Cricetulus griseus: one gene and its partner. The protein of the gene in region 1 interacts with the protein of each later gene in a pairwise test. Links are inferred from orthologs where the notes say so. Each region holds a gene or a part of one and is shown on either strand. Other genes may lie near its edges. The genes, in order: Akap12 and Fhl1.

Evidence for each region.
Region 2: the proteins of Akap12 (region 1) and Fhl1 interact in binary tests that used the Homo sapiens proteins (3 or more experiments, as listed by UniProt). The link is inferred for Cricetulus griseus from reciprocal best matches to the Homo sapiens genes AKAP12 and FHL1.

What each region holds. Positions count from the first base shown.
Region 1 is NC_048595.1:282,045,698-282,054,344, forward strand, and holds the end of Akap12 (A-kinase anchor protein 12), read left to right. Parts: coding exon 1-4,287; 3' UTR 4,288-4,295; intron 4,296-6,104; exon of another isoform or gene 6,105-6,122; intron 6,123-6,199; 3' UTR 6,200-7,297; downstream 7,298-8,647. UniProt on the Homo sapiens protein: Anchoring protein that mediates the subcellular compartmentation of protein kinase A (PKA) and protein kinase C (PKC).
Region 2 is NC_048604.1:15,695,199-15,704,488, forward strand, and holds the start of Fhl1 (four and a half LIM domains protein 1), read right to left. Parts: upstream 4,502-9,290; 5' UTR 4,482-4,501; intron 3,850-4,481; exon of another isoform or gene 3,703-3,849; intron 3,529-3,702; exon of another isoform or gene 3,510-3,528; intron 1-3,509.

The DNA of each region.
Region 1 (8,647 bases):
AAAAAGACCAGCTTCAAGAAGCCGAAAGAGGATGAGCTGGAGACTTCTGAGAAGAAAAAGGAGCAAGAGGCAGAAAAAGTCCATGAGGAAGATAATGACAAGACAGAATGTCCTTCTGGGCAAGCCCCAGCATCCGAGCAGCAGGAGCCCACAGGAGGCATAAATCAGGCCAGGTTGTCCGCAGATTATGAGAAGGTGGAGCTGCCCTTGGAAGATCAGGTCGGTGGCCTGGAGGGAGCATCAGAGGAGAAATGTGCTCCGTTGGCAACAGAAGTGTTTGATGAGAAAGTGGAAACCCACCAAGAAGTTGTTGCAGAAGTCCACATGAGCACCGTAGAGAAGATGGGGGGGGAGAAGGCCGAAGTAGATGTAAAAGAAACAGGAGAATCCTTGCCCCCTGAAAAACTGGCTGAGGCCAAGGAGGCCCCTCAGGAAGCCGAGCCTGCTGAGGAGCTGAAGAGCAAAGAAATGTGTGTCTCTGGAGGTGACCATTCACAGCTGACAGATCTAAGTCCCGATGAGAAGACATTGCCCAAACACCCCGAAGGCATTGTCAGTGAGGCAGAGATGCTGTCCTCCCAAGAGAGGATCAAGGTACAGGGAAGCCCTTTGAAGAAACTCTTCAGTAGCTCCGGCCTAAAGAAGCTCTCTGGGAAGAAGCAGAAGGGGAAACGTGGGGGTGGAGGAGATGAAGAGCCAGGAGAACACCAACAGGTTCAAACCGAGTCCCCAGAGAGCGCTGATGAACAGAAGGGGGAGAGCTCTGCCTCCTCCCCAGAAGAGCAGGAGGAGATCACATGTCTGGAGAAAGGGCTGTCAGAAGCACAGCAGGAAGGAGAAGCCGAGGAGGGAGCCACTTCCGACGGAGAGAAAAAAAGGGAAGGAACCACTCCTTGGGCATCTTTCAAAAAGATGGTGACACCCAAGAAACGGGTACGAAGACCTTCTGAGAGTGACAAGGAAGAAGAAGTGGACAAGGTCAAGAGTGCCACGTTGTCCTCCACAGAGAGTACAGTGTCAGAAATGCAAGAAGAAGTCAAAACCGTCGGAGATGAGCAAAAGTCCGAAGAACCGAAGCGCAAGGTGGATACCTCTGTGTCTTGGGAGGCACTGATTTGCGTGGGGTCATCCAAGAAAAGAGCGAGGAAGGCCTCATCATCAGATGACGAAGGAGGGCCGAGGACAGTGGGAGGGGATGGCCACAGAGTGGAAGAGGCCAGCAAAGACAAAGAAGCTGGAGCAGATGCTGTCCCCGGCAGCACCCAGGAACATGACCAAGCGCAAGGAAGTTCCTCGCCTGAGCCAGCTGGAAGCCCTTCTGAAGGGGAAGGTGTCTCCACCTGGGAGTCATTTAAAAGGTTAGTCACTCCGAGAAAAAAATCCAAGTCAAAGCTGGAGGAGAAAACGGAAGACTCCGGGACAGAGCAATTGGCTTCAGACGTTGAGCTGAGTAAAGAAGAATCTTGGGTTTCCATTAAGAAATTTATCCCTGGACGGCGGAAGAAAAGGCCGGATGGGAAGCAAGAACAAGCCACTGCTGAAGACATGGCGTCCACAGAAGTCAATGAAGATGACCCTGATGTCCCGGCTGTTGTGCCTCTGTCTGAGTATGATGCGGTAGAAAGGGAGAAGATGGACGCGCAGCAAGCTCAGGAGAGTGAGGAAGGGTCCCAGCTTCAGGGGGCCCTGTACGTGTCTGAGGAGCTTAGCAAGACACTGGTTCACACTGTCAGTGTGGCTGTCATTGATGGGACCAGGGCAGTCACCAGTGCCGAAGAGCGGTCTCCTTCTTGGATATCGGCTTCTGTGACAGAACCTCCTGAACAGGCCAAAGACGAAGCCATACCCTCCACTAAGGAGGTCACTGAAAGAGATGTCATTGCAAAAGAAACCCCTACGGCCACCCAGACCTTGCCAGAAGGCAAAGATGCCCATGACGACACAGTTATCAGCGAGGTGGAATTCGTCTCGGAAGCTGTGACAGCTGCAGAAACCACAGAGGCTCTCCATGCTGAAGAAGTCACTGAAGCATCGGGAGCAGAAGAGACCACAGACATGGTGTCAGCGGTTTCCCAACTAACCGACTCTCCAGACACCACAGAGGAAGCCACCCCGGTTCAGGAGGTAGAGGGTGGTGTGCCAGACAGAGAAGAGCAGGAGCGGCAGACACAAGCCATCCTCCAGGCAGTTGCAGAAAAGGTAAAAGGGGAGTCACAAGTGCCTGCCACCCAGACTGTACAGAGAGCGGGGCTGAAAGCACTGGAGAAAGTGGAGGAGGTTGAAGAGGATTCTGAAGCGCTGGCTGTGGAGAAAGAGCGAGATGTCGTTGTGCTGGAAGAGCCCGTGCAGGGAAGTGAAGCTGAGCATTCTGCATGGGGCTCTGAGATTGGACAGAGTACTCCAGATAGCCTCAAAGCAGTTCCCGAAGTCACAGCGGGTGTAGAGTTGAAGGAGCAAGTCACCACATGTCAGGCTATTGAGCCCCAGCAGCTGTTGGATCAAGTTGTAGCCCCCGAGTCATCCGAAACCCTGACAGACAGTGAGACAAACGGAAGCACTCCCCTAGCAGATTCAGACACTCCAGATGTGGCACAGCAAGATGAGGTCATTGAAAGCCAGGACAGTAAAGCCATTGCAACTGACAGGCAGTCACAGGTCACAGAGGCTGAAGCAGCTCTTGCTCAGAAGGAGGGACCTTCAGTGCCACCCAATTTTCCACCCCAGGAAGAATATGGGGAAAAACCGGGAAGAGATGTTCTAGAACCAGTGAAGCAAGAGCTTGCTATGGAAGCAGCACCTGTTCTGGCAAAGACCGAGGTGGGTCAAGAGGCTAGCCACTCTGATGGCGAAAGAGTCAAAGACGAACTCTGTGTGGAAGGACTGGAGGTGTCAGTACACACAGATGGCCCCGACAGTCGAGAAAAGATTGCTGAAGTGACACAAGATGGTGAGGAGATAACAGAGCCTGAATGTCAAGAAAAGGAGTGTGTGGAAGCGCAGAGCCTTAACCCGGAGGAGAGAGAGATGGGAACTGATGTTGAGAAGGAGAAAATGGAAACAAAACCAGAGCAAGCGAGTGAAGAACCTGAAAGGAGAGCGGCCTCTCCTGAGTGTGAAGAAGCCCACCCACAGCCTGTCCAGACCGTTGACGCGTCCATCTCAGAGAGGGGAGAGGAAATGAGCAGCCTTGAAGGAAGCTCCACTCTCCCAGACCAAGACGAGGCAGGTTGCATACAGGTTCAAGTTCAAAGCTTGGACCCACCAGTAACCCCAACAGCTGTATCCATGAGGGAGGTTGCAGAAACTGTCAAGACTTCAGAAACAGATGGAAGTCTGGAGTGTGTGGGTACACATTTAATACCAGCAGAGATGTCCTCTGAAAAGGGTGACCACTGGACTTCTCAGCATGGAGAGGACATTGTGCCCTCGGGACCAGAGAAGCAGGCAGAGTCTGTCCCAGTAATAGTATCACTGGCTCCTGAAAACACCCTACATTCTGACTTGCAGGGAGAGATAGGTGCATCCCAGAAACAGAGATCAGAGGACGAAGATGACCAGGAGAGTGCAGCAAGGGAGGGAGGCCTCAAGGTTGAAGCTGAGATCTTGGAGCTCCAGAGTGAGAGCACCAAGCTTGTCGAGAACATCATCCAGACAGCCGTGGACCAGTTCGCTCACATCGAAACAACCCCCACAATCTGTGCTCCTGATTCACAGACCCAGGTTCCGGTGATGCAGGCTGACAGCCAGGGAGCTCTACAGATGCTGGATGAAGAAGAAAGCTGCCATCAAGACTCCGCCCAAGATGAAGCAGTGACTGCTGCAGCCCAAGATGGGCTTGCCCTTTCTGATATTTCCGAAGGCAAGAGCAAGCCTTCAGAAAAGATCAATATGCTTGCAATTGAGAGTGTCAGTATCAAAGACCAGCAGTGTGAGCAGGTGATTGTCCCACTCGGGGCAGAGGGAGATGGAAATGGAGCAAAGCCTGTGCCAGGTGATGATTGTGCCAAATTAGAAAGTGTAGAGAAGCTGCCACCTGAATCCAAAAATCTAAAGGGGCATGCTGCTGATGGCCTCCAACACCAAAGCTCAGCCCAGGCAGAGGCAGATGCCTTGGGAAATCTAACCAAAGAGTCTCCAGATGCCAATGGACCAAAGCTAACAGAGGAGGGAGATGCCCGGGAAGTAGGGATTCAGGAAGGAAAAACGCACACCGAGTCAGTCAAAGAGATGAAGCCCCAGACAGAAGAGGACCTACGGGAGCCTGAGGGAGACCTGGCAGAATCCTAAGATGTTAGGTAGGTAAACTTCCTTCTGGGAGGTTGGTTCCCTGTCCCACATCCCACATTGATACAATTACATGGCAATAACTGATTGTATACAGAACCTTCAGTTGGAAATAATTATCAACTAGAGTAAGGATAGTAAGTAATCTATCAACGGTAGATTTTTTGGGTTTGTTTGTTTTAAATTTATTTTTATGCGCATTGATGTTTTGCCTGTGAGAGGGTGTCGGATCCTCTAGAACTGGGGTTATAGACAGTTGTGAGCTACCATGTGGGTGCTGGCAATTGAACCTGGGTCCTCTGAAAGCGTAGACGGTACTCTTAAGCACTGAGCCATCTCTCCATCCCCGCCCCCCCACCCCACCCCCTTTTTTTTTCATCAGAATCCCACCAAGTCTTACTGGTGTCATGAAAATAATGGCTTCCTTTTGCTCTTTTTTTTTTCCTTCTTTCTTTTCTTTGAGACAGGGTCTCACTATGTAGGCCTTACTGTCCCGGAACTCACCATGTTAACCAGGCTGGTGGCTTCTGTCCCTCTCCTTCCCATGCTGGGATTAAAGGTGTGTGCCACCATACCTAGATCAGCCAAAACTATTAACATTTTAGTTTAGGGCCTGGAGAGGTTAAGAGTGTGTACTGCCGGGAGCTGGAGGGATGGCTCAGCCATTAAAGGCTAGGCTCACAACCAAAAATATAAGAATGTATACTGCCCTTGTAGAGGAAAAGAGGTCAATTCCCAACACACATGTCAGGCAGCTCCCAACCACCTGCAATTCCATCTCTAATTCAGCCACCTTCTGGCCTCCTAATACCTCTGTGACCATATTCGTACTCACACAAAGACACATAAATCAAAATCCTCTTTTCAAAACTAGTTTATAGCTATTTGGGAGAAGCATGGACTCCAGCCCAGCCCAGTTCCCAGCAGCACTGATGAGCATTTTTTAGCTTGCAGTGCACCTGAGCCTGGGAGGAGGTGTCTCTGCTGATTAACCTTATAGCAGTGGGACACAATATGGACCATGCTATCTTTTGTTTTAGCCCAGGGTGGCCTTGAGCTTGCTATGTAGCTAACGATGGCACAGATGACCTTCAATTTCTGATCTTGCACTTCTCTAGTGCCAAGTGTCCCACCATACCTGACTTTTCTTATGTTTGTTTGTTTCTTTCTTCCTTTTTTTTTTTTTCCTTTGCTTTTTTAAGACAGGGTTTCACTGTAGCTTTGGAAGTTGTCCTGGAACTCACTCTGTAGACCAGGTTGGCCTTGAACTCACAGAGATATGCCTGTCTCTGCCTCCCCAGTGCTGGAATCACAAGGTGTGCGCAACCATGCCCAGCTTTCCTATTTGTTTTTTAGAGACTGTGTAGCCCAGGCTGGACTTGAACTCCAGGTAATCCTCCTGCCTTCAGTCTCCTGTCAGTAGATTACAGGCATGAGCCACCACCACATCTGGCTCTGGTAAGATGCATTTCTGTTGGTGTTGAGGTTGGAATCCAGGGCACATTCTAAGTCAGTATTCCTTGGCTATAATGCCATCGTGTGTGTGTTAACAGTATGGAGATACACTGTGCCATCTTTCTAGCCCTTAAAAATGTTTGATGGTTGCGTGGGTTGGTGCCTACATAATGTGGGTGGGATAGGGTGCCTATGCTATGGCGCGCGTGTGTGTGTGTGTGTGTGTGTGTGTGTGTGTGTGTGTGTGTGTGTGTGTGTCAGAGGACACCTTCTGAGGGTTGAACTCAGGTCTCCACACTGTTCTAGCAAACACCTTTAGCTACTGAGCTGTCTAGCCAACCTCTTTTTCTTTTTTTCCAAGACAGGGTTTCTCTGTGTAGCTTTGGAGCCTGTCGTAGAATTCACTTTGTAGACCAGGCTGGCCTCGAACTCACAGAGATCCACCTGCCTCTGCCTCCAGAGTGCTGGGATTAAAGGTGTGTACCACCCCATTCCCATAGCTCTTGTGCTGTGTTGTGTCGTCAACAAATTGAGGCAGGAAAAGAGGTCTTTATTTCTCTCTCCTTTCTTACTCCTACAGTTACTCATATCTGCAAGGCCAGAATGTGAAGGCAAGCCACGGAAAAAAATGCTGCTGTTGAGACCAAGATTGCTGAGTCCTTGAGATTCAGAGTGGGCTGTCCGCTGACTTCAACCTTGGAGAGCACCCCTGACAATCCTGAGGCTTCACCGGGAGCTAGAGCCAGCTAACATTTCCTTGTTTAAAGACTGCCTTTGATTTTTCCCTTGATTCCATGTATTTCTGATTGAAGGTCCCTACATTCAACCTGGAATCAATGTTGGCAATACCTAGTTCTACTTCTCAAACTGGAGCATCCTCCTCTATATATTTATATGTATGTTTTCTGTAGTCCTCCTCATGTACCTATTGTATATTTTTTTTCCTAATGTTTAAGCACATGCCTTTTGTATTACACAATATATGACGGGTGTGCAGCTGTAGTGAAGCCTTGAGAAGCTCTGAGCCTCAACTATAATCTGTGGCAAATAGAGAAATAACATTCCTGAGAGGAAGGTACAAGTCATTTTAAAGGTCACTGAGCTTGGGTTTATGGGTTAGTAGTCCTCTGAAAGTGGTCGTTTTCCTACGCATAGGGAGCTCAGAAATAAAACACCATTTGGAAACATCTAGAATGTCCCAATATTACTGTGATGTGTTTCTTTCTAATCCAGTTCAGGTTGGAAAGCAGTCTCCTTAGTGGCAGATTAAGTCCCTTCTCTTAATGACGTGGACAGATGAGTGTGCCTAAGGCCGTGATAGGTTTTCCATCTCATGCAGAAGGAAATCTGTTGTACTTTTTTGATTGTACTCTTATATCCTGGATTGAATTCGTAAGCAGAACCAAGTGAGTCCCATTCTTTATAAAATGGTATTTTGATAGATACTGGAGTGTGTCTGTGATATCTGTGCCCCTTTTAAGAACAATGTTGCATTATGTTCATTTGAACAAATTGTGGTTTGACAACTGATTTAAATAAAATATTTGCTTCACTTAGATTCACGGTTTTGTTTGTTTGTTTTGTTTCCGTGACAGGGTTTTCCCTGAAACTCTCTATCTATATTCCAGGCTGGTCTTGAACTCAAAGATCCACCTGCCTCTGACTTCCAAGTGCTAGGATTAAAGATGTGCGCTGCTGCTACCCAGCTGGGTTCACTGTTTTTTGTTTGTTTTTAAATAAATCCTGTTTTATTATGAATACAATATTTGCTTGCATTTATGGTTGCTCACCAGAAGAGGTCACCAAATCTCATTATGGATGGTTGTGAGCCACCATGTGGTTGCTGGGAATTGAATTTAGGACCTCTGGAAGAGCAGCCAGTGCTGTTAACATCTGAGCCATCTCTCCAGCCCAATTCACTGGTTTTTATTAAGTGCTAAGGGGCCTGGGTCCCATGCACAGTGTTAGAATAAAATACTAACAATGCAAAGACAATGAGGGAGAAGCTGGGACTTTCTTATCAATGACCCCATGAAGACATCAGGTCACTTTGCACTGGTTTGACACATTGAGGAAGCCATGATGGGGAGGGGTTTTGTTGAAGGAAACCAGTAGAACCAGGGGTTGTGGCATATACCTGTAATCCCAGCACTCAGAAGGCAAGGCAAGAGAATTGCTGAAGTTTCAGACTAGCTAAGAATGAGACTTTTTAAATTCTTTATTTCAAAAAATAAGGCTTGGCAAAATGGCTCAAATCGTGTCTTAGCTAAGGTTTTATTGCTGTGAAGAGACACCATGACCATGGCAGTCCCATTTAATGGAGGATGGCTTACAGTTTAAGGTGTAGTCCATTCTCATCATGGCGGCATGGTTCTGGAGAAGGGACAGTTCTACATCTTGAATCACAGGCAACAGGAGACCGTGCCACAGAGGGCATAGCTTGAGCATATATGAGACTTCAAAACCCGCTTCCACAGCAACACACTTCCTCCAACAAGGCCACACAGCTCCTAGTAGTACCACTCCCTATGGGCCAAGCATTCAAACACATGAATCTACGGAGGCCATACCTATTCAAACCACCACAAATAGTAAAGGCACTTCCCTTGCAATTCTGGTGAACTGACTTCTATCTGCAGAACCCAGGTAAACACATTTTTACGTAGTTTCTGGATAGTCAGTGTGGATTTCCCTTGACATACCAACTGTGGTGTTTTGAATAAGAATGACTCAGAGTTTAAGGGCATTGGCTGAGTTCAATTCCCAGCAACCACATGGTTGGTGGCTCCCAACCATCTGTAGTGAGATATGATGCCCTCTCTGGTGTGCAGGCAGACATGCAGATAGAACACTTGTACCAAAATAAATAAACCTAAAAAATAAAAAAAAAAAAAAAATGAAGAATGGC
Region 2 (9,290 bases), on another chromosome or scaffold:
ACTATATTGACTAAAAAAGAGAAAGATGGGCATGGTGGCGTGCCAGCAATCAGGAGGCAGAGGCAGGAGGATTAAGAGTTGAAGGTCAGCCTCCAAAATAATAATAATAACAAAAACTTTTAAAGAGAAAATCCATAGACTATAAGACAGTCTCTCAATATCCATGGGTGAATGGCTCCAGAACCTATAGATAGCAAAATCCATAGATGACCAAGTTTTTCATATAAAATTACATTGTATTTGCACATCAGTTATACCATTTTCTAATATACATTAAATCATCTTAAATTACTTATGATATTCAATACCATATGAATGCTATGCAGTTTTCATACAACAAAGAAAAGTCTATAAATGTTTAATAAAGATTGACATTTTGTAAATATTTTCAACAGCTGATTGCTGAAATCCAAAGCTAATTATATTACCCAAAATGAAAACTATGTCTCAGACTAAGTCACTAGAAAGAAATGATTTCATTGTTTGCAGGACTGAAGAATGTTTATCGTATACACAGCTACTAGGGGGATAGTCAAAAGACTCCAGATATAACTTAATTATTCACAATAGATTAACTGTCTATACTTTACCTTTCTATAATCACACCAGAAAGGCAGGAAGTATTTCTTATATATTTGGTATCTGGGCACCAGGTACAAGAGCCTCCATGTGAGGAGCTGACTATGTAAATGTCTGTTGAAGAATGGAATGGTCATATATTCTACTTAATTAGGCACTGTGCTGGCAGAGAGAGACAGAGGCAGAGAGAGGAACAGAGGGAGGGAGGGAAAGAGAGAGGGAGGGAAGGAGAGAGGGAGGGGAGGAGGGAAACTTTTTGCTATGTTCAACAGGGGCTGATAGAAAAAAATCTCTTAAGGAAAAAAATAACAATATACTCCCTTTTATCCCAAATCCAAACAACTGGGTAGTTCAGTTAACAACAACAACAACAACAAGTAATGTGTAGACAAAAGCTAAGGAAAGCAGCCAACGAGATAAGGACTAAAGTTCAAGCAAGCAGGAACATTTGTTCAACTCCCACAAGGTTATAAAAGCCAATGTTGCTGGCACCAGAGGGGGGGGGAGGGGAAGGGGGATGGTAAGGGGGAAAAGAAGAACCAGGAGGAAGAGATTAGGAAAACAGGGTACAGCCTCAGGAGATTAGCTGCCATGCCTTCAACAAATTATTTGTTTTTAATGTCTAAACTTGGGCTAGGGAAGTTGTTCCATGACAATGGCGCCTGCTCTGCATGTGTGAGGCCCTGGGTTCCATCCCCAGTACTACAACAAATGAATAAATAAAGAAATATTCAAACTGAAGGCCTGGTGCTGAGTTTCTCACACAAAGGCTTGATTTACAAGTTATTTTTCCAATAGATAACTAGCCAAATCTTTAAGATTATTTAGAACAACTATTTCACTAGACTGTTAATTTCTGAAAGTTCTTCCATCTTTTTTCCTCCCATCTTACAACAGGTTCTCAAAAAGCCAAGTAAAGACTCCCTTTGCTCCTTTTGTTTAGAGAGAAACTTAAGGTCCATTTTCCCACCAACATACTGCTCCTTTTAAGAGATTTTTTTTTTTTTTTTACCATTTTCATCATTCTTATTCCTCAGGGAAAAAACACCAGGCTTAAATTATATTGTGAACACAATGCTCTTTCTCACTACTGCATTGATGCGGAACACACATCACATAAATGTTAGAATGGTACACAATAGCATAAGTAAATGCATTTTTGTTAATCATGCAGACCCATGCTCTACTTCCACTTAAACATGTAGTTTTAACATTTGCAATAAATAAAGTCAATATCTTATTCAAGTGATCAATTCATTTAACCATATTATCTCCAAAGAACTCATAAAAGAAGAAATTTTACCAATTTGCATGTTACATTTTTTTATCCCCAAATCTAGACTTGCTTAAAAAAATATTTTCCTTCTCTAAAAAAATTAAATATTGGAATGGAAGCCTAGAATTTCAAAAGCCATGAATAGTTACAGAATCTATATGGTACTATTAGAATGTGTACTTACTTGTGTGGTGGTTTCTACAAATCATGGCCTATCTAACAAATTTCCTGTTGCATAAAGATCATATTTGCCCTTAAAAATGTTAAATACATGTTTTTAAAGACCGAAGGTAGACTAGATTGGAACCTTATGTAACCAAGATGGGAAAACATTATAGTCCTAGCACATTTAAGGCCCACAGTTTTTAAATGCACATTTTTCTTAAGCAAATATGGGCATGAATTTCCAAAGACAAAACTACCAACCTCAGTCCCTTGATGTTTTTTCAAGTGTATGGAATGGGGAGCGGCCTGTTACTGGGGATGGACGAGGATGGAAACTCTTTACCCAATTCCACGTGACCCAGAATTTAAACTTGTGCTATTCTGTAAATGTTCTCATTTCCAAGGGCCATTACATTTATACTAAACAGCCTTAATCAAGATAACAAAAATATTCCCAGTATTTTATAAACTCGAAATACATTTGATAACATGGAGAATTACAAGCAATTACCAAATGATAGCTCCAATTAGGAAAACTGGATCTATTCCAAATTCAAATCAAAGGAGGCTCAGATAGTCCCTATGGCATAATTTAAATGAAGAGTACAGAGGACTTCCAGCAAATACATTTGTCCCACTCTTGCCCTTCAGGAAATTCAAAAACCAAATCTGAAATCACATTCATACACTTTCTTGTCTCCTGTTCCCAATGTGCCTCCCTAGTCGTTGGGGTCCTTGTAATCAGAATGAGACCGAGAAACTCAAAAGGCCCAAATGCAGAAAATAATACACAGCATTATCAGTGGCTAAGCAATGGGAACTTCAGAAGCAGAAACCTCTTCCCTATAGCCCAGGACAGCATGTAGTGGGAATTTCAGGCTTTTCTGAAATAGAAAGGTCACACCCAGCAGTTTTCCTAACCTACCTTGTCAAGGCTCAACCAAGACTGAACCTAAGTGCTAGAACCTTCCTTTTGCTTCCACGCTAGAGCTGAAATCCAGTCCCCTCTCCCCACCCCCATTCCCCACACCACTGCCATTCCCCTTGGAGAGCAGAAGCGCTGCAAGCAGCCCTCTCCCTGCCTCACTATTCTCCCTGCGCTCCCTTCCTGCCACCCCCAGCATCCCCAAAGGCAAATCCACCACGCAGCTCCCTTAACATCTCCGTGGAAGGAGCCAAGGCAGGTTCCCACCTTCCTCTCCAGCCCAACAGGCGCCATCCTTAATGGAAACCCAGTGAAGCACCCCCCCCCATCGTCATCATCATCCCCTGCTACTCTCAACTGCTGCTATCCTTTAAAAAAAAATCTAAAGGTGTCCCCACCTCGCCCCACCCCCACTGCCCGCCATCCTGGGGGAGAAAACCAAAAGCCCCCTCTTTTTTACTCCCACCGTCCATCCTTGCAGAGGAGAGACCCAGAGCCACCCCCCTCCGAATCCCGCTCCCCACCCGGGGAGCGAAAGCCTTGGGGGGGAGCCGAAGCACGCACCCTAAGGGACCTTGGAGCCCCGGGTTCCGCAGCCCCCCAGCGTGGGCGAGGCCACCGAGGCCGGAGGCCGCAGGTACCCGAGCCCTGCAGGTCGGCGCAGCCCCGGAGTGGCGGCCGCGGAGCACTGAGCTGCGGCTCCCCAGGGACGCGGGAGGCGCACACCCACGCACACGCGGAGGGAAAGCGGGCTTACTCTCTGGGGATGCTCACCCGTGCAGCTGTCTAGGCGGCACCGGTGGCCGCTGCCAGCTCCGTGGCCAAAGCTCGGCGGCGACAGTGGCGACTGCGGACTGAGCCCCCTCGGCCGGGCGGTGGATGTAGGGCGCGCGGGGAGGGGCGCACGAGAGTGGGAGGGAAGGAGGGAGCACGCGCGGGGGCGGGAGGGGGCGGGCGCGGCCACTCGGGGCGGGGCGGGGCAGGGCGGAGCGCGCGTCCGCCTGGGCTCTGCCCGTGGCGCGGGGCTGCGGTGCGGGGAAACTCGCGGGGGGCGGGAGCCGGTCGGGCAAGCGCGGGAAGGGGGCGCGGGCTGCGTGGGCGCCTCGGGAGAGGCCCGCTGCTGCCTGCGAGGCGTGCACGGGTGCGCGCGGGAAGTGGCCGCGAGCCCGCCGTGGCGCCGCTTCCCTGAGCAGCCGCCAGCGTCCAAAGGGCACGCGGAGGGAGGGCTGGGGGCGACTGCTGCCTCCTCCCTCGCGGGCGCAGGCCTCGGCGGGCTGCTGGGGAGTCACGAGTCACTGCAGGCAGCCGCGGCCAGAGCCCGGGAGGTGGGAGCAACAAAGAGAGGCAGCCAAGGTGGCCTCTGGCCTCTCTGGGGCCTCGCTGACCTGCACACCCCATCACAGCCCGCGATTGCGGATCTCTTGGTTTTCATCATGCTGAGAGACCCACTGATCACCTCTGCCATTGACTAGCATGCAGGACAGAAGGCAAAGAGCCTGTATCCAGAGGGTTTTCCGTCGTTCCTAAAGCACTTACGACAGGCAGAGCTTCACGTAGTGACTAGTTCTTTCACTCCTTCCGTTCAGCGAGCCCTCACCATGTGCCAAGTACCGTGCCAAATGTTGTAGATACAGTGCAGTTGTGCACACACTCTGCCTTACTAGCGGAGCAAGAAAACATGAGTAGGCGAGAAAATAATCACACTTGGATAAACTGCAGGATAAGACGGGGTTGCAAGTAATGTGGGTAAGAAGGTGACATTTAATCTAGGCTTTGGATGCTATAAAAGCAGCGCCATATAAAGAACCAAGGAAAACTTTCCAGACAGAAGGAGCAGAGACAAAAAAAAAAAATGCAGGAGAAAACTATCATGCCAGTGGACTTAAGTGGAAGGAGTTGATAGAAGAATATTGAGAGAATTGCAGGTGAACTAAAGAAAACTGCTTTGCAATCTTTCCTTGTAAAGAGGGATGGAAAGGAAAATGACCCAAGAGGATGAGTAGGGTGGAGGCAAACTTTCATTTTCTGCTGTGACTTGGAAAGGTGGGGCTAGCCTGTAGGGGATATCTGGTGAGGCAGGAGAAAGGTTCATTGAAGGAGTCCAAAGTCTTGCTACAAAATGAAGGCTGGATTGAAGGAGAGAATTGGTCCTTTATGCAGAAGCAGATGTTGCTGAGAGGTGGAGCAGCTGTGTGTTTAAGCCAAGCAAACAGTCTCAACATTGCTGTTTTCCCCATGCTTCATAAACCAGGTGCTGCTAGGGAGATTTCCAGAGATCTACAAGGATGACACGAACTGACAATCTAGGCAATGGTGGAGAGGATAACCTAAATGCCCTTCCCCTAAAATGAGACTAATGACTACTTTTATGCCATCCTAGAGCCCTCATCCAGTGGCTGACGGAAGCAGAGGCAGACACCCACAGATACACACTGAACTGAACTCTGGAACCTAGTTGCAGAGAGGGAGGAATGAAGATCAAAGGGGTCGGTACCAGGCTGGTGAAACCCACGGAATCAGCTGGCCTGAACAAGGGGGAGCACATGGATCCCAGACTGCTGTCGGGGAGGCCAGTACAGGACTGATCCAGACCCCTGAACAGGGATGTCAATGAGGAGGCCTTCACACTCTAGGGGGCCACTGGTAGTGGATTACTATTTTTCCCTGGTGTAAGAAGGGACTTTGAGAGCCCATCCCACGTCTCGGCCTGGACACATGGGGGAGGCCTAGGCCCGGCCCAGGATGATGTGGTAGACTTTGGGGATCCCCTGTCGAGGGCCCTACCCAGCCTGGGGAGTGGAGGCTGGATGGGGTGGGGGGCGGGTGAGAGGTTGGGGGGTTAGGGAGAAGGGGAGGGAGAGGGAGGAGGGATTGCCATGTGAAGCAAGCTTGTTCCTAATTTGAACTAATAAAAAATTACAAAAAAATTAAATAAACCAGGTGCTGGCCTCTTTTCCCAGAGAGCCAAGAGATAGTTGCAAAATGCTTTCCCCCCCCCTTGCTACCCAGAGCTGAGTCTTCTTTTCTCATTCTGAGCCCTTAGAATCACTGGGGTTTGCTATTTCTGGATTAGCAAAGTAAGACTTGCTGCACATTGCTTAGGAAAAGAAGCAGATCTGCCCCAGGCCCTCATGGGAAAGCACTGAACAATTAGCTCCACTTGAAGCAGCTCCCAGCATACCAGCCCTGGGCTCAACCAGAAAGAAATGGCCAAGAGCACTCACAATGGAAAGCTCTGGACGGCTCCGGACAGAGAGCCTGTTACTGGAGATTTTAGGATCAAAGCCTGGGCTCTGGCGGTCCTAACAAGATCGGCTCCACCACCTGTCTCTGCTTATGCCAATTAAAGACACAAGAAATAGTGAAAAGCAGAGAAAGGAAGGAGATTTACTCTATGTAGCCACGTTGAGAGGAGGAACAAATAAAGAGGCCGAGTGACCCTCAAGTCCATCTAGCATGAGGATTAGGATTGAATAGAGAGCAAGAAGTGTGTGTAGCTAAGCTGGTTGTGTGTGATCTGGCCTATCACTGACACACCACTAAGCTCCAATATGTCCTGCAAGGCAGTCTGACCTTAAGTTGTCAAGAAACAGTGTGAAATCTCTTCTTGGAAAACAGGTTCCTCCTTCAACCTTTCCCTTCAGCCAGCATGAGATTCCTGGGAAGATTGTGACTATTTCATTATCCTGCTAGCCAAATGGGAGGGGCACAAGTGCCTGCCTTTAGAATATGTCTTCTGACAGAAGTTAGTATTCCTTTCCTTCCCTTCCCTTTCCTTCCTTCCTTCTTTCTTTTTCCAGACAGGGTTTCTCTGTGTAGCTATGGCTGTCCTGGAACTCGCTCTGTAGACCAGGCTGGCCTCGAGCTCACGGAGATCCAACAGAGCCTTTCTTCGGGAACCTCCCATTGCTCAATTGGTAGTAATTGTCGCTTTCTTCCCTTTCATTTCTTCACCCTTCCTTCTTTCCTGACCTCCTTCGACCCTCACCAGCTCTCTGCCCCACAGCAGCCTGCTTCTTTCTTTCCTAATCTCCTCATTCTTGTAGACATTCATCAATCTCCCTGGAGGTCTCAGGCATCTGGCCCCACCTCTCACATCACCCCAGCTAAATCTGCACCCAAAGCCAACCCTGCCGCCTTCTTAACACTTCATCTTCTTGCATTGGAATTCAATTTCTGGAGATCACAGAAACACATTGTTTCACTTAAAGAACTGTGGTAGTGTTGCTGAATAAGCAAGATAGAAGGAAAAGAGTTGTCCAAGTGGAGTGTTTGTGTTAGAACATTTTTGTAATGTTCAAATGTGAAGATTAAAAAAATAGAATAGGCTAGATTCAGATAGTATAAATCCCAGAACTGAGTAAGCTTGGCTTTGTTTTGGTTTGGTTTTGAGTAATGTAATAGACATAAGGAAAGGAGTTGATGTGGGATAGTGCTCTTGTTCACTGTAAAGATTTGTCACTCATATTGGATTAATAAAATGCTGATTGGCCAGTGGCCAGTGAGGTAGTATAAGCAGGGCTACCAAACAAGGAGAATTCTGGGAAGAGGAAAGGGAGTCACCGGCCAGAAGCAGAGGAAGCAATATGAGAATGTCATACTGAGGAAAGGTACCAACTCCCGAGATTAAACAAAGATAAGAATGATGGGTTAATTTAAGTTGTAAGAGTTTGTGAGTAATGACCCTAAGCAATAGAGCAAACAGTTTATAATTACTATAAGCCTCTGTGTGTGCATTTGGGACTGAATGGCTGCAGGACCTGCAGGACCAGGTGGGACAGAAGCTTCCATCTACAGGAGGCATTCAATTTCAGTAGAACTTAAAGCCTGTTGGAAGGAAATATGGAGCGTTTAATACACAAAGCTATCAAGTACTTTGCCTTCTCTTCAAAAAGTACTGATAGAGAGAGGGCTAAGAAAATAGCTCCATGGTAGAGTACCTGCCTAGCATGAGGCTTGCACTGTGAGAGTGAAGGAGGGAGGGAGGGAGAGAGAGAAAAGTTATATTCACCATCTGATTTATTCTCATATTTGATGCTATGATTCCTACCTTACAGAGAATAATTACCTTTGAAGTCAAGATTTAAAAATAAAACACAGCGGCTATAGAGCTCACAATCCAATAAACTGTAATTCCAAAACAACAAAAGAAGAAAGACTGCTGATCACTTTTTACCAATCCCAGTTGGTTACTTATTTCAGGTAAGTGATTGGTTTTCTGAAAGTGTCATACCTGAGTATCATGATCCCTTTCCACAAGAGAGCTTAAGAATTAAAACACTTGATCCATTTCAGGTTCATCAAGCCCCATGGCAATGATGGAGACCAACATGACGTCAATGAGTGCATCTACCTCTCCAACCAACCATACTATGCATTCAAAGACTTTGCTGCACCAAACTGGAGACTAGGGGGACTGTGAAATGTAGTCTGTGCATTTTACTCACCATATTTTTATCACTGAAGTGCATTCTGGCTAGAACTGTTTCCGTGAATTCCTCACCATTTCTACATTTTCAGAATAGCTCAGCCTCTGGAACTCCAGAGTTGAACTCTGTGCCAATCCCCTTCACAATCTATTTCTCCTATATATTCTGTCTCCATTGTGGGCATGCCACCCCCAGCATTCAAAATCAAACATACCATTACTTTTGAGTCCATATCAAATTACAAAGTCTGCTAAATCCTCCCTCTCAAATAGTAAAGCCTCATTCCCTCTTCCAAACTGCCCCTGAGCATCTCAGACAGAATCCACTGATCCCATGGCATTTGGATCATGCCATTAGCACAGCAGACAATGGTGACATACCAGGTAATTTCATGTGTCTATTTCCATCATAAAATGATGAACAACGTAACATGTCTTTTTTGCTTATATCTCCCTCTAGTTTCTTGGAACCTGGAAGTTCTTTTAAAGATATTTCCTAGAGGCGAAATAGAGAAAATAGTATAATAAACTTCCACGCATCAAACATTTTCTTTTCTTTTCTTTTGAGACAGGATTTCTCCTTGCAGCCTCGGCTGCCCTGAAACTCACTCTGTAGACCAGGCTGGCCTTGAACTCACAGAGATCCGCCTGGCTCTTCCTCCCAAGTGCTGGGATTAAAGATGTGACCACTACCACGTGGCTTCAAACATTTTCCTTAACAGTTATCTACATATGATTCATTTTATTTTATTTAGACTCCTTCCACCCATTGCTTCCAAAACACAAAGTCTGGACTATTTAAAACGAAATGCATAGTATCATCCCATAAAAATTACTCCATAACACATTGCTAAAATATAAAGTCTTTCTTCCTTTTTAACAAAAGCACACCTAAAATACCGTCACATCTAAGAGGA